2 linked regions of the Caenorhabditis elegans genome follow. The protein of the gene in region 1 interacts with the protein of each later gene in a pairwise test. Each region holds a gene or a part of one and is shown on either strand. Other genes may lie near its edges.

Evidence for each region. The genes of interacting proteins can lie anywhere in the genome.
Region 2: the proteins of C18B2.5 (region 1) and F49E2.2 interact in a two-hybrid assay, tested with the Caenorhabditis elegans proteins (one large-scale study listed by BioGRID).

The regions. Positions count from the first base shown.
Region 1 is NC_003284.9:3,606,379-3,612,670, forward strand, and holds C18B2.5 (G domain-containing protein), read right to left. Parts: upstream 4,715-6,292; 5' UTR 4,713-4,714; coding exon 4,620-4,712; intron 4,562-4,619; coding exon 4,502-4,561; intron 4,452-4,501; coding exon 4,302-4,451; intron 4,255-4,301; coding exon 4,012-4,254; intron 3,964-4,011; coding exon 3,886-3,963; intron 3,821-3,885; coding exon 3,727-3,820; intron 3,451-3,726; coding exon 3,284-3,450; intron 3,231-3,283; coding exon 2,924-3,230; intron 2,217-2,923; coding exon 2,134-2,216; intron 2,079-2,133; coding exon 1,855-2,078; intron 1,799-1,854; coding exon 1,636-1,798; intron 1,590-1,635; coding exon 1,254-1,589; intron 603-1,253; coding exon 501-602; downstream 1-500.
Region 2 is NC_003284.9:9,565,367-9,573,318, reverse strand, and holds the start of F49E2.2 (SH3 domain-containing protein), read right to left. Parts: upstream 6,024-7,952; coding exon 5,891-6,023; intron 4,537-5,890; exon of another isoform or gene 4,412-4,536; intron 4,284-4,411; exon of another isoform or gene 4,263-4,283; intron 3,941-4,262; coding exon 3,809-3,940; intron 3,769-3,808; coding exon 3,718-3,768; intron 3,082-3,717; coding exon 2,930-3,081; intron 2,878-2,929; coding exon 2,639-2,877; intron 2,556-2,638; coding exon 2,372-2,555; intron 2,330-2,371; coding exon 2,183-2,329; intron 1,240-2,182; coding exon 1,072-1,239; intron 1,001-1,071; coding exon 863-1,000; intron 813-862; coding exon 718-812; intron 674-717; coding exon 481-673; intron 1-480. Other genes in the region: moc-5 (GTP 3',8-cyclase), read left to right, coding at 7,340-7,504, 7,611-7,875, 7,933-7,952.

The sequences.
Region 1 (6,292 bases):
CTAAGCTCCAAAAAGTTCGAATGTTATGTTCACAATTTTAATTCACTTTAAAATGAGTATCATCATTTGCTTTGAATTTTAAGGAACTTTTGAAAGTGATAGTATCTATCAATCTAGGCTTTCTCTGTACACTTTGAAAATTAAAATTTCCTGAAATTCGTTTTATACACTAGGTAATCATATTTGTAAAACTTGACACTTGTAATAGCGTTCCTCTTAACTGATATGTCGAAATTTCTAGAATTTCCTATAATATTATTTGTATTTTTGATTTAAATATCAATGAACAATATTATTCTGCCAAAAATTATATTAGTTCCTTAGCGAAAAGAAATGAAGCTGAAAAACAAAAAAAACGATTGATAGGGAATGTTTATCGAGTCGCGTTGGATAAAAATGTTAAGTCGAACAATAAATACAAAATGAGTGGATCGGAGATTAAATTGAAACCATTGAATCAGAAAACACAAATAATAATACTAATAATAATAAATTGTTTTTTAATACAACACTTTATCAGCAAACACTGGAGCTTGTTCGACTTTTTGTCCCTTGTTGTGTCGGAGGATGGCAACTAGTGGGTGGACAGTTTCTTGCAAATCCTGAAGTGAAAGATTTAATAAGGTAGTTTCAGAAGCATAGATAATAAGCTGACCTATCAAAACCGCAAAAATTAATATCATCTCTCACATTCGAACATTATTAATACAATTTTGAAAAGTGAGTTAATATGAGTTAAAAACTTGATATGAAAAAAGCTTAGAACTAAACCGAAAACAAAAATATATAAATATGTTTAAAAAAATTATTTAAATGTTCATAAGCACATTTGAAAAATTTTATGTCATAATTACTATAAAAACCGGAATAGTTTTCATGGAAAGTTTTCTATTTTGAATATTTGAAAGCCTTCCCATACATATGAAATAAATTAAAATTATGCTGAAGTTGGAGTTCAAAATATGTTAAAGTTTCATCAGATACAGTTTTTTCTGCATACGTTTTTCAATATAAGTTTGAATTGAATTTGATCCCGGACGGGTTGAAAAATAATCTTGAGACGCCTCAATTTATACTTATGTTCTTTGCTTTCATGTGATGATTTTTGAAAGATGATTTTTGAAAGCCAAAATTACTTTTCAAATAAAGTGTACTATTTTCAGTTATTTTCAACTAAACCGAGTTAAATACGCAGACTGAGACACCTAGTATTTTCAGTTTTAAATTTCACTTCCCCAACCCATAATATTTACTCTGAAAAGATTCTCCAACGAAGCTGTTCCGTGTGTCCAGTAGAGATTATGTTGAAGTTTGGAAATTCCTGTTGGGAGTGGTGCGAATCCCGAGTTGTTAACTTTGTAGTATTCAAGGAAAGAAATGTTGGCCTGTGTGAGACTTTTGATGGCAATTGGCTGTGGGAGAACTTCAGAGTTGGTGATAATCGGCAGAACGTTTGTTTTCAAATCGTCTCCGAACATTCTCTTAACATCAGCCAACTCATAAATGAACGGCCATCCCAGTTGATTCTCGTCGTGTCTCAAAACAATTGAGATTGCATCAAGACGGAAGGATCCAGATTTGAGAAGCTCCTAAAACGTGAAATTTAGAATTTTTTGCAAAGTTTCAATAGTTCACCTTCTCAAACCACTGCTTGATAAGTCGCGAGACCGTCTTGTTGCCCATTTTGTCCTCAACCCCGGGTGTGTCAACAACAGTGACGTTATAAGGAAGAACAGTGTTGTTGAAAACGTAGGCGGTGAGTCCAGTGGTTGCGTTCACATGCTCGTCCAAAACAAATCTGAAAAAAGAAGAATAATGAACATTATAACATTGAAAATTAAAAAATTAAGTTACCGGAAATCATTCTCCTTCTTAACATCATACAAATAGTTCATCATGCTGGTAATAGCAGAAGTCTTTCCAGAATTAACTGGACCGAACAGGAGCAGAGTCTTGTCATCGTCACTTGGTGGAGCATCTCCTCCAATGATAACCTTGTTGATCTTGTCATTCTTGGAGAAGTTTTCAACAACATAGTATTGTGGAACAACGAGCTCGTATTTTCCGCTGCTTGCAATCTAATAATTTTTAAGAATATTAAAATAATTTTCATATGAAAAATAAATGACTTACATGTTCTCCTGCTGCCTTTTGTTTAGCAGCTAGTGGGCTGACACGAGCTTCCTCCTCTTCGTAGATGCTTGAGTCCACGCTCTCTTAAATATTCGATATACGCAATAGAAAATTTAAATAATATGTTTTACATAGAAGTTCGCACAGAAAACGTTGATTGTACTCAGAAAATTGAACAAACAGAAAATTGAAAACTGCCACACATTTTTGCAGGTGCATGGTTTTTTTTCTTTTAAATAATTTATACACTTTTGTAGAGTGTGTGCAGTACACCTGGCCCGAAAGTTTTAACCATTTTAAAAATGTTCGTGATTTTTTTAAATCTACATTAGGCATGGGATTAGTGTTTCCTGAGCTTAAAAATGCAAATGTAGTTCAAGTTTTGATTATATTATCATTTTTGAAAGAAACGACTGAAAGCGTATTGGATAATAGTTTTGGGTATGGTATACTACACAAGTTCCTCTAGAGCATTGTGATCTTTTCGGAAGTGTTTTGGAAAGCCTCAAACTTTTGTAAAGCTTCTAACATTTTTGAAAGATTTGAAACAATTTTACACTTTCAAAAAAAAAAAAACTATCACGGTTATGTCAGCAAACCGCAACCTCTTCAAAAGCTCTATATCAAATTTTACGAAAACTACAGTAATCCTACCGTACTCCTGCAGTACTCCTACGGTACACTCACTTCGACCTCAGAAAAATGAAGCCTGATTATCTTGTTATTTTGGCAAGTTTGAGTGTTTGTTAAGACCGTGTTTATAAGTCTAATTAAATTCTCTAAAACTTACTTGAAGAATGGCTGGATTTCGGCTGTGGCGGCAAATGATGATGATCGTGCTCATGGCTGTACGAGCGAACGTGGTAGCCTTGTGGCTTCGCACCTTGTCCAATTTTGTTGACCTTCAATGAAGCTTCACGAGCCAAATTAGCATGAGTCATGCGGTCATTGTCAGCGCGTTGACGGTCAACTTGATGAGAGAGCTGAGCTTTTTTCGCGTGAGCATCTTCAACTTGGCGTTGAAGATTTCTCAGCTTCTGGGTTCCACCAGTGTGGAACGAAGCTTGGGTATGGGAAGAGTACACACTTCCTGGTGACTGTAAAAAGACTTTATTAATGATAATGAAGATTTTTTTGATAATTTTCTCACGCTGAGCTCAGAACGTGGGCGTTCATATGCCACTTCGTCATGATGAAGGTTGATTTCTTCACCATGGTAACGGTCATGCTCATCGTGAACATCGAATTGTCCGAAACGGCTTTCAGCAAACGATGCGGAGCTATCGATGGTGTTGGAACGATCACGGTGTGGTTGTGCTAAAATAACTTTTTTAAACATACATTGATTATATGCAACTTTTTTTAAAACTAACTAGTACTATTTCGGATACACTTACGACCCGCTTGAGTATAAAAATAGTCAAACATTTTTGAGCAGACAAGAGTATGACTAGTTATGTTCAATGTGCATAACAAAAGCCTACACCACTGTTCACTCCTCAATAACTGACTCATAGCAGAAATATGACCGTTGCAACTTATTTACATGCTTCTACAATTTTTTTTATTTCCGTCTTGAAAAGTGACACTCACCCGTTCTGATTGGATATTGATGATTCAGATTGAAGTGGTCACTTCTCTCGTCTTCATAATCCGGCTGCGGCTCAGATCCGTAGGCGTCGTAGTGCTGAAAATTACGAACTTACTTTGAATTCAAAACAATCTATTTTCAACACAATGCAAATAACTTGCATAGCTTTGAGAATTGATATTCAAATCGTTGAAAACATTGTTCACGACGAGACTTCCAGTTCGTGCAGCGGCATGCCTCTAAAACGGACCAACTTACCCGAATAGTTCCTAAAAATTGAAATTTACCTTGGCAGATCCGTTTGACACTACGCTTGCGTTTTGTGGGTGATGTTCGCTTGCATACTGATTTCTGTGCGAGCTAACATGAGATGTAACATGTGACGAGCTCACATGGCTTGGAGCTTGAAATGGTGGCTCACTGACGATGGACTCGTGATCCTCACCATACAAAGCTTCGTCGAGATGACGGAGAGCATCGTCATGTCCTCCGTGCAAGTTGACAGTTGGCAGTGTCACAGCGGAAAAGACCTTTAAAACGTTGTTGTGAAAAGTGGTTCAGTTAAAAATATAGTTACCGAGTTCATCAAATCGTCATTCACTGGAGTTGCATCGTAGTAATGCGAAATTGGGGTGACATTGACTGGTGGTGGTGGAGGTGCAGATACTGCATGTGGTGGATGGGACACCACAGTTGATGTCGCATGTGATCGGATTCCGTTTCCAATCTGGAAAAGTTTACAAGTATTATGAGCTCTATACCATAATGAACTCTTACCGGAACCTCTCTCACAGTGGATACACTCGAAGCAGTTGTCTTGCGGCTTCTATTTCCAGACTGAAATTATTTTCAAAATTTATTGGAAATACAAAAATTCTGCGAAATTTTTGGTTACCTCGGAAGATTTCACGTTGGTGGCAGATGTCAACGCTGGAAGGTTGCCAAAGACGTCATCCAAGTTGATGCTGACAGCCGTGCTTCGCGACATGTCTGTACAAAAGACACAATAATAGGAGTTGTTAAATTGTGGGAATGGAAAAATCGAGAACGATAAACAGTGAGAATTAAGAAAAATAGCAAAACAAACTTATGCTACATATAAAATATGATTATTTCTGCAAACTTTGCTCAACTATCATCAAAGACAAACCATTCCTATTGTACTCCCCGTGAAATTATATTTGAAACAGAAAAACCTGGCTGAAAACGGAGATGATTGACCGTGACGAAAGATCGGTAAAAGGCAAATTGCACGGTGTAATGGAGTGCAAAGACAGAAATGGCAGAGCACTGCTTAAAAGTTTCCTGTCAAACCGTGTCGCTTATCAATGCGTGCCACGCATTACACCTTCTCGCGTCAGGCGCCAAAAACGTATTGTATATGCAGCTAACAACCGTAACAATGGAACGAGAGTATTGACGAGTTAAATCAAAATAAAAAATCGGTGGAGAGCGCTGAACTGAACTGAGAGTGAGAGGGGATAAAAACAAAGTTCGCGTGTTGTTTGCCGAGACTAGCAGATGGTTGGGTTTTATTTCTACAAAAATGAGTAGATGCCATCATAATTTTGGAACGGGTCAAATTTTACAATACATCCCAATTGAAGGACATAATAGTTTACAGTTTAATTTGACTAGAAAATGGAACGAAAGTTCTTAAGATACAATCTTTTAGTGAAAAAAAAATCAGTTTCCAAGGCATTCCTCGATTTGAATCCAAAATAGATTTAAGAAAACTTTTTTGTTTTACCTGAAAGTTCAAAAGTTCAAAAAAAAAGAAAAGAAAACATAGCTTCATTATTCTTTCAAAAATTGAAAATGTAAAGAGTGGAATTTCTTCTTTGTGATAAGTTTCTTTCCAGTTATAGAACCCTGAAAAAACATGATAAACCACACGCATATCAATTCTCTGCCAGTTAAGTTTCAGGACTGTTTGCTCGCATGTAAAGGACTGAACACATTATTGCTTTTATTGAGAACAACATTGCATAAGATTGAATACTTTTGAAAAGAGGGGAAAAAAGAGATGCTGAACAAAAAAACGTGAACTGAAATTGGAAGAAAAAGGTGAAACCCATCAAATACATGTCTAGCGGAGGAAGGTTGGAAAAAAATACAAGCGAAAACAATTGAAAAATGAATAAGATTCTCCCGAGTTGATACCTTGCATTTGCGCATTTTTTTTTGATAGAAAATGTGTTTAATAATCTAGCATGAGAACACAATTATTTAAAAAAAAAAAACTCAACAAAAAAAATTAAGACCATGGTTCTTAATTTTTAGGTACCCAATGAGTAAGCACTTTGTTTCAAAAAAACGCAGGATTTTTTTTAGTTTTGAGTTCAATTAAAATAAATTATAATTTCAAAACAAAACGGTTCCATAGGAAAAAAGTTATTTTCACAATTGCTTTCGTTGGTCATAATTTTATTAGAAAATAAATTCAGTTTCAAATTTTTCAAAGGAATACTAACAAGCCGTGGTGATGACGAATAATGTAAAAATGACCTGAAATGAAAAAATGTGCTGAACAAAAACAAATTCAAAAATTTTCATGGCTTTTTATTT
Region 2 (7,952 bases), 6.0 Mb from region 1:
TGGAGGTGACTAATGCATGTTTCAAAATATCTAACAAAGAACAACATCAACATAGTTTTCAACTACACTATGTTTTGCAAGTATTCTCTAATTCAATACTAAATATTACAAAGAGCCTGTTAGACAAATGTTCAGTAAGGACTTGTTTGAATGTAAAAACGAATTCCATAAATTAAATATCTCGAACCAATGCTAAGATTTTTTTGATAAAAAATTAATAACCTTAAATTGATTTTGATTAAAAAAAACATTCATGAAACTCTACTCATGTAGGCTTTCAAATCCTATAATAGTGTCAAATTAAAATATTGATACAGGCAAATGTTACCACTTTTTTAGGGCACCGGTCTGTTGTTAGAAATTTTATCGGTTTGCCGTTTTGCTTGAAAGTTTTATATTCTTTTTGTTTTCTTCTTGACGTCACAAAAAGTAACAAGTTTTAGTTTAATTTTTCAAAATTATTTAGAAAGTTTTTGGTACCTTGTCTCCACGATTCACAGTCATCTGTTCTCCGGAAGAAGCATTGAAATCATCGTTAACAATCAGAATACTTCCATATTGTGATGGGTTGAAGAATGATGGAACCGAAATATCTGTACTATGATTGCGACTGTGTTGTTGTGCTTGGTGAGATGGAGCAGCCATTGGAAGGTAACTAGAATCCACGTGGAATCTGAATATGTCGTTCTTTTTTTCAAATTTCTTGTGAGTACTCACTTTTTAGCATTCATTTGCTCCTCTGTCACTGGATTATCGACGACTCTCCCAACGCGAATATAATCGCTGGTAACAACTTGATAAGGCGTGCTATTCTGAAGGATTATCACACTTGAAAATTGAAAATTACACGAATAGTTTTTACCTGAACAGGCGTGTAGCGGACATTTGGCTGAGGATTTGATTGATTTGCAAATCCGAAAACATTAACAGCACCTGGAATTGTGTTTCCAGCACGGCGGACACCACCTGGAGCGCTATTAACCGGCTGTTGAGGCACTTGCTGGAAACGCATAGTTTTATCAAAATGGACAAATAATAGCGAGTGAAAAGATGATTACACCAGATGCTTACCTCGGCGACAACATTATGACGAGGGGCGTATGTGCTCTCCTCCTGGCGTGTGACTGGAACTGGTTGAGCGCGAATCGGAGCATATTGGGGGTTTTCGACAACTGGTTTTGGCGGCAAGACTGGTGGAGCAATGTGGGAGTAGCTGTTGTTGGGTGGAAGTTGTTGAATCTGAAATTAATACGGCAATTAAATTTTTCTTCGAAATAAACCAGTTGCATTTACTGTTTGTAAAAACCAATGCATGGTATTTTAATTCGGGGCACGTTGTGAATACATAATAAGAATATGAAATGTTTTTACTGCAGTTCAAATCTTTGATAAAAACTTTATGTGAAAGATTAAATAAAATATAGTAATGTTATGTGAGGTAATTTTGAGTCAAATAGAGCAACTATTCATACGTCGCTATTCTACCATTAAACAAACACGTGAAGTTGTTACGAAAAAATTTTGATAATTATGTAACACGTGAAAATAGTTGTTCTTCAGTCAGCCTTTTAAAATTCGCGTAACATTTCTAAAACGTGATAGAAAGATTGCCAAGATTTCAAAACCAAAGTGAAAACTCAATAAAATCTAATTGACAAAACGATGCTAATATTTCTTTTTTCGATTAAAGACTTTTGCTTCGATGTTTACAAACATTTTTGAATTCTATTGTTAAATTTTGAAAACACTGTGTTGCTGATTGAAAGTTCATGCAGGCTTAACTATGAATAAATAAACTGATTTTAATCTAAATTAAAATTCAAAATGTTGCGTTTTTTATTGATTTTTATCCTAGATAATTTAATAGCACATGCGGACATTATACAAACATTAAAAAATAGTGTTATTGCAGATGCGAATTTTTCAAAATAGGAGAAATTTTGAATACCTCCTTGCTTCAACAGTTCAAATTTTAAGTATCCTACAACTAGTCCGATGGCTTACACATAGTAATAAACTTTGAAAATGTGAGTGTTCTTTTTTTTTAATACAAAATGAAACGTATGTATTATAAGTTTTATGTACGTGATTTAATGTAACTATGACCTATTGTTTATACACAATATTGACTTATAACAACTTTGAAACATTTCTTCACATGACATATTAGTCCTCAACTAACCTCAATTGATTGACGGCGATAATTACTAACCAGTGTGACTCCGGAAACGTCATTTGTGAGACGACGAGAAGATGGAAGATCCTCTAGCGTTGTTGCAACCGATGAAGTCGAATTGCTGCGGCTGTCCTGTACAGCTTCATCTACTTTCTGAAATTTAATATGATATACACGCATTAAATTGTGTTTTACCTTTTCAACATTCTCTTTAATTTCCTCAGCTGCAACAACGGCGGCATGCTCATGTAAATCTTGATGCCAATCTTTGTGGTCTTCTGGTATGGTCTCAATTTCAACCGGTGCAGCGATCACACTCCCAACTGCTGGCTGAACAATCACTTCTTGGGCTTGGAATAATTTCCCAATTTCGACGTATCTGATAATATTTTATGAGAGTTTTTTTTTCCAGAAATTGAATTAATGTTGCTATTTTCACAATTCTAATTACATTTAACTCACCCGTGAATCCAGGATTGCAGCTTGTCATTGAAAAATTTGTATCTCATTTCCTGTTGTTTTGCCCAGCTGGCTGCTTCTTTTTTATGGAACGCGGTAATATCTTGTTCAGTTTCTCCATTTTTGCGTTTCAGAAGTTTTTTTTCTTTTGCTTTGTACTCAGCAAATTCTGTCTTCAGCTTGTCTTTTTCCTTGTTGCTATAGTCATGAACTTTGTGTGCCAGCGCGTCAAATTCCGTAATCTATGTTTAATTATATATTGAATGCGAAACTTTTCTTTAGATTGATGCTTACGACTTTTTGATGAGCATTTACTCCCTGTACAAACTCTTTAAAAACTTTTGAAAGCTCTCGAGCTTCATTTTTCGATTTGTGTCCAGCAGTATCAGCTGATTTGATAAGTTTGTGAGTGGCATCACAATAGTTTGACAATGCTTCTTGGAACACTGAAAATTGCAAATTTTTATATACTCTTGTCATCTTGAAAACTTGATGTGATTATTGAAAAGCTATTTTTCTTGACCTACATTGATATGGATTGCAAACGAAAATGTTTCAATTTCCACTCTCACAAAAAATATAGTTTTTGTCATTGAATTTTTAGGCACAAACTATGAAAATATAAAACTCGAGTTCTATGAATGCGTCTTTCAACTACACATGTTTTCATGTGTTGCGATACAAACTGAATTGAGTTATAAACAAATTATTAACACAGAAATGGGATGAGCTGAGTATATTTTATTCACATTATTGAGCCATTGTTACAAACCGTCCCGACCATGATAACTATAATACTTTCAACGTATATTTGCCAACTTTTTGCAGTAACGTTTTCTAATTTTTTTTACTTCTCATCTCTTACAATATTAAGAAACCATGAGATCATGAGAGTGCCTACCGTTTTGGCGCGGGAATATCTCGTAGCGAAGGAACCTATATCTTTCTTCGCCGATTGTTTTCCCTGTTGCCGCTATTTTCGAGCCACAATTTAGGCATTCTCAGGTTTTTTAAAATACAACAAAAGCATAGAAAGAATACTGTGTAAGAGAACTTATTGTTTTCTGATCAAAAATACTTACTGTAATATGTTTTCAGTAGATGCATTCCGGCTTGCCCAAGATTTTTTGCCGCTGAAATTTTGTTGTGTATGTTAACCTAAACAAGAGGTACCTGGCAAAAACTGTGCGGCTAGCTGATCGTGGACCATCTGTGGAATGTTGGCAGCCATTGAAGGCGAAACCTCCGGTGGTACCGCTTGTTCGTCGACCGACATCGGGATGATTGGTGGATACCGATGAGAGACTGAAAACCAACTTTTTGCAAACTGTTTGACATTCAATTTTCATAAGTAATGCACTACTTTTGCGGGAAAAGTTTTATAATATTTTATGGGCAGGGTTGGTCTGTTGTAGATAACGCTTTTGCCATCCGAGAAACTTTCTTTATTGATATTGTTAATTGCTAAAGGCATGCGACACTAAATATTATAAAAAATATACAACTAAACAAGTTATAGAACTTAAAAAAACCCTAAGACGGTGAACCTAAATCAATAAAACACAAATATCTATATTTTTTGAAGAAATAGTGTTATAAAGTCATTTTGTTTGCCAACATTCCTGAATTCCACTTTCCATCATAACGATTATGGTTATCACCGCAACATGTGTCATAAGAAAGGAATGAAACAAAAAATATTTCATTTTTGGAGTAAAATAATGGCCATTATGCCGGCAAAACGCCTAAAACAGTGTACACTCTATAAGAAAATGAGGCGAGCGTACAACCAAGTTCATGAAACGACGCAGTGCGGCAGGCACCTATTGAAAAAGCGTTGTGCAAGTGATAAGAGCCCCGACTTTGGTATGCTGCGTGCGTTTGATTATGTACATTACCCGGGCATCGGCGCCAAGCGGCGAGAAACCTGGCAGATTGGGAGAGTGTGAAACAAAACCAAAAATCGCCGCCTACTTTAAGTTTTTGTGCCATTCTGAAGCGACTATTCTGATTGTGTGAAGAAATACTGTTGACATTTTGACACTATCAATTTTAAGAGCGTGACAACAGAGAATGGTGACATCTGACAAAAAAAAATGACAAGCCGTATGCAACTTTTTGAACAACATTTGAATAATTTGAAATTAAATAATATAAAAATATAAAAAACGCATCGTTTAAGCTTGTAAAGAAACCTGATAGTGAGTGTTATTAGTAAAACATTGAACTCTAGTTTGTTTTAATTGTTTCAATTCTGAACACTGACCCGTGAAGTAAAATAAAATTTGTTTAGAATTAAATAAAGCTATGAATAAAGTACAGGACAACTTTAATTATTGTGCTACAAAAGTTGATCGGCATCTTTACAAGTAACTCGTTTTGTAATTTATTCAAAATTTAGAGAAGTAGTCAAAACTCAAAACTTATTTTAAACCATAAAAAATTATTGATTTAATATACCGCAATTTAAATTACATTGTCATACCAATGTTGTTAATAAGTGAGTAAATAATGATTTTTTGAACATGTATGTTCAAAATTTGCGTTATACATGTGAAACATCAAAGACAGTAGAAATATGTTGAGCATCTTGCTCAATCAAAATAAGTGTATCATTGTTAGGAAAATGTAACTAAACAAAAAATACCACTAGCACAGTTAAGTTAAGTTGCTTATGAAATTAATTCACAAGTAAAAGCTACAATACATACACATTATCACTTAAAAAATCGTGTTTATTGATTTGCCTAGTTTTGTCTTACAGGGACACCTACATTCGGGCATCCCCACATGATTTCCAACATTTCCAACTCCAATTCCAACAATATATTAAATTTCTAGGTAGTGTTCAGAAGACGAGAACTTATATAATGTTACGAACACCTCAAAATGAAAGTTATATTTTCACATGCTTCTCAGAGATATTTGAAAATATAAATTGAGCTGCAAATTATAAAGCTTTAAAATGTAACTTTTTGAAACTAATACTTACATTTTATTCTATGAAAATATTAATGTTGCATTTAAGTTCAGTATTTCCCTCGATACAAACAAAAGTTGACCAACCTTTTAACATGTGGCGAAGTTTTTTGGCACAAAGAGACGCGCGACACAACTGACAAGCATGACTAATGTCTAAGTTTTCTATTCCGTTCGTCTTCTCCCTCCAAAAAAACACGTCGTAACTATCCGGCTAACAAAACGTATGTATCCCGAGGTCGTTTGCCAATCACTCGGACGTATAACCATACTTACCAATCTTGATACTCTTGAAACGATGATTGAGAACATATTTGTGACCGTTAATTTCAAGAGTTTGAGCTGGTAAAGGGGATGGCTGTGGTGGAATGCGAGATTGGTAGTAAAACTCGTCAGTTGCAGATTCCATTGGAGTTTATCAATATTTCGATGAAAACCAGGACAAACAGAACAAAAGAATGGAATGGGATGGGAATGAGGGAGGCAGATTGGAACATTCCGTATTTATTTTTTGCAATTTTATTATTGAATGGATTTTGATAACATGATTTTTTTGTGTTTGTATGAGTCACTTAAATTGATTGAATATTTTTACCCCAAAAATCCTCACCTCTCCATCTCCATAGTTTCATCCCAATCAGCGAAGATCGTCGAGCGCCCAGATTGAAGATGCCAGCTGTAACAATTTTTTTTACGTTGTATCAAGTGCCCTTTTCACATCGCTCTCTCTGTCTCAAATAGTCTATGCTTTATTATACAATGTACAAATTACAGGGGTCACCAAAAGAGTTAAAAAGACACGTCAGAAAGAAAGACAGAGAGAAATAGAGATGTTTGGAAGATGGGACACTTGGAGGACGTGACAACTTTAAAAAAAGGGGTTTATGAGTACACTATATTTTTGGGACACGGTATTTAACTTACTCATAATGGCAACACTCCTTCTGATTTAGAAACTATGAGGAAATGATAGTCAAGAGCACACAAATGTTCTGAAATATATTCGCTTGTTTATCTTTTGACAAACAATGTTGTTGTCTCTTCCAGAAATATTGTGTTTCTAGCGTCAGAATCATATTGATTAAAAGATAATGATAAAACCTCGATTTATTTTCACGAACCATTTGAAAATCAGACATTGATAACTTGCATCAGAAATTAATAACTTGCATCAGAAATTAATTAAGGTGGAGTAGCGACAGTAAGAAAATTGTTAAAAATTATCCATAAAATGCCAAAATGATCAAATAGAATAGTAACACTTTTCAACAGCTGGAATAAAAATTTTTTATTGACATTCAAAAGTTACTGAGTTTTTCAAATCGTTAGACCGAATCATGATATTTCATTTTCATTAAAAATACATTTCCTGATATATAAAGTCCAAAATTCCTGAGCCTCTATCCCTCTTTTTCTTTTTGTTCTCTGCAACACGTTCGTTTTCTCCTTCGTCGACACAAAAATCACTTTTCGGAATTGAATTGCAAATCACCAATGCAGAGTAGAGTGCCCATCAACCTGTATGATGACAAAACATTCCCGTTGTTCCGTTTTGCATTTTCTATGGTTTCAACGCCCACGATTTATGTTTGAGCGTGAGAGCCACAATGTGCTGCTTGGAGTTTACTTTACACCTTTTCTCTAGGTTTTGTTTTTTTTCTCAATTCCTAATCAATAAATTAATCGCACCGCATTTTTAAAAGTGTTTTGATATAAATATTACAGATGAGTTGTCGAGCAGGAAAAAAGTTATTTCAATGGTCACGGGTCAAGTCGTCAACAGAAGAAATTGTAAAACAACTAACTGTTCCATTACGAGAACATGCCGAACCAATACTCACGTTGACGCCCGAACAAAAAAGAGAAGCAGTCAGACTAAAAATTCAAGAGGTATTCTTAAACATATTGTGCAAATGAGCTTCAGAAATCAGAGAAAGAGATAAGAAAATATAAGAAAATTCTGAAAGTTCACTTGTCGTTCATCGTTCAATTTCAGATTGAACACACAAAAGGCCAGCCACCATTTTTTGACATGTTTATGAGAGAGCACACTTATTTGAGGATATCGCTAACGGAAAAATGCAACTTCCGTTGTCTTTACTGCATGCCAGCCGAAGGTGTTCCTCTCAAGCCCAAAGACAAAATGCTCTCAAACAGTGAAGTATTAAGACTTGTAAAGTTATTCGCTGCACATGGCGTTGACAAAGTTAGACTGACAGGAGGTGAACCGACTATTAGAAAGGATATTGTGCATATTGTTGGTGAGTTTATTGTAGAAATATGACTTCAGTGGAGAAACATGGCATATTCAATTACAGAAGGGATCTCATCTACTCCA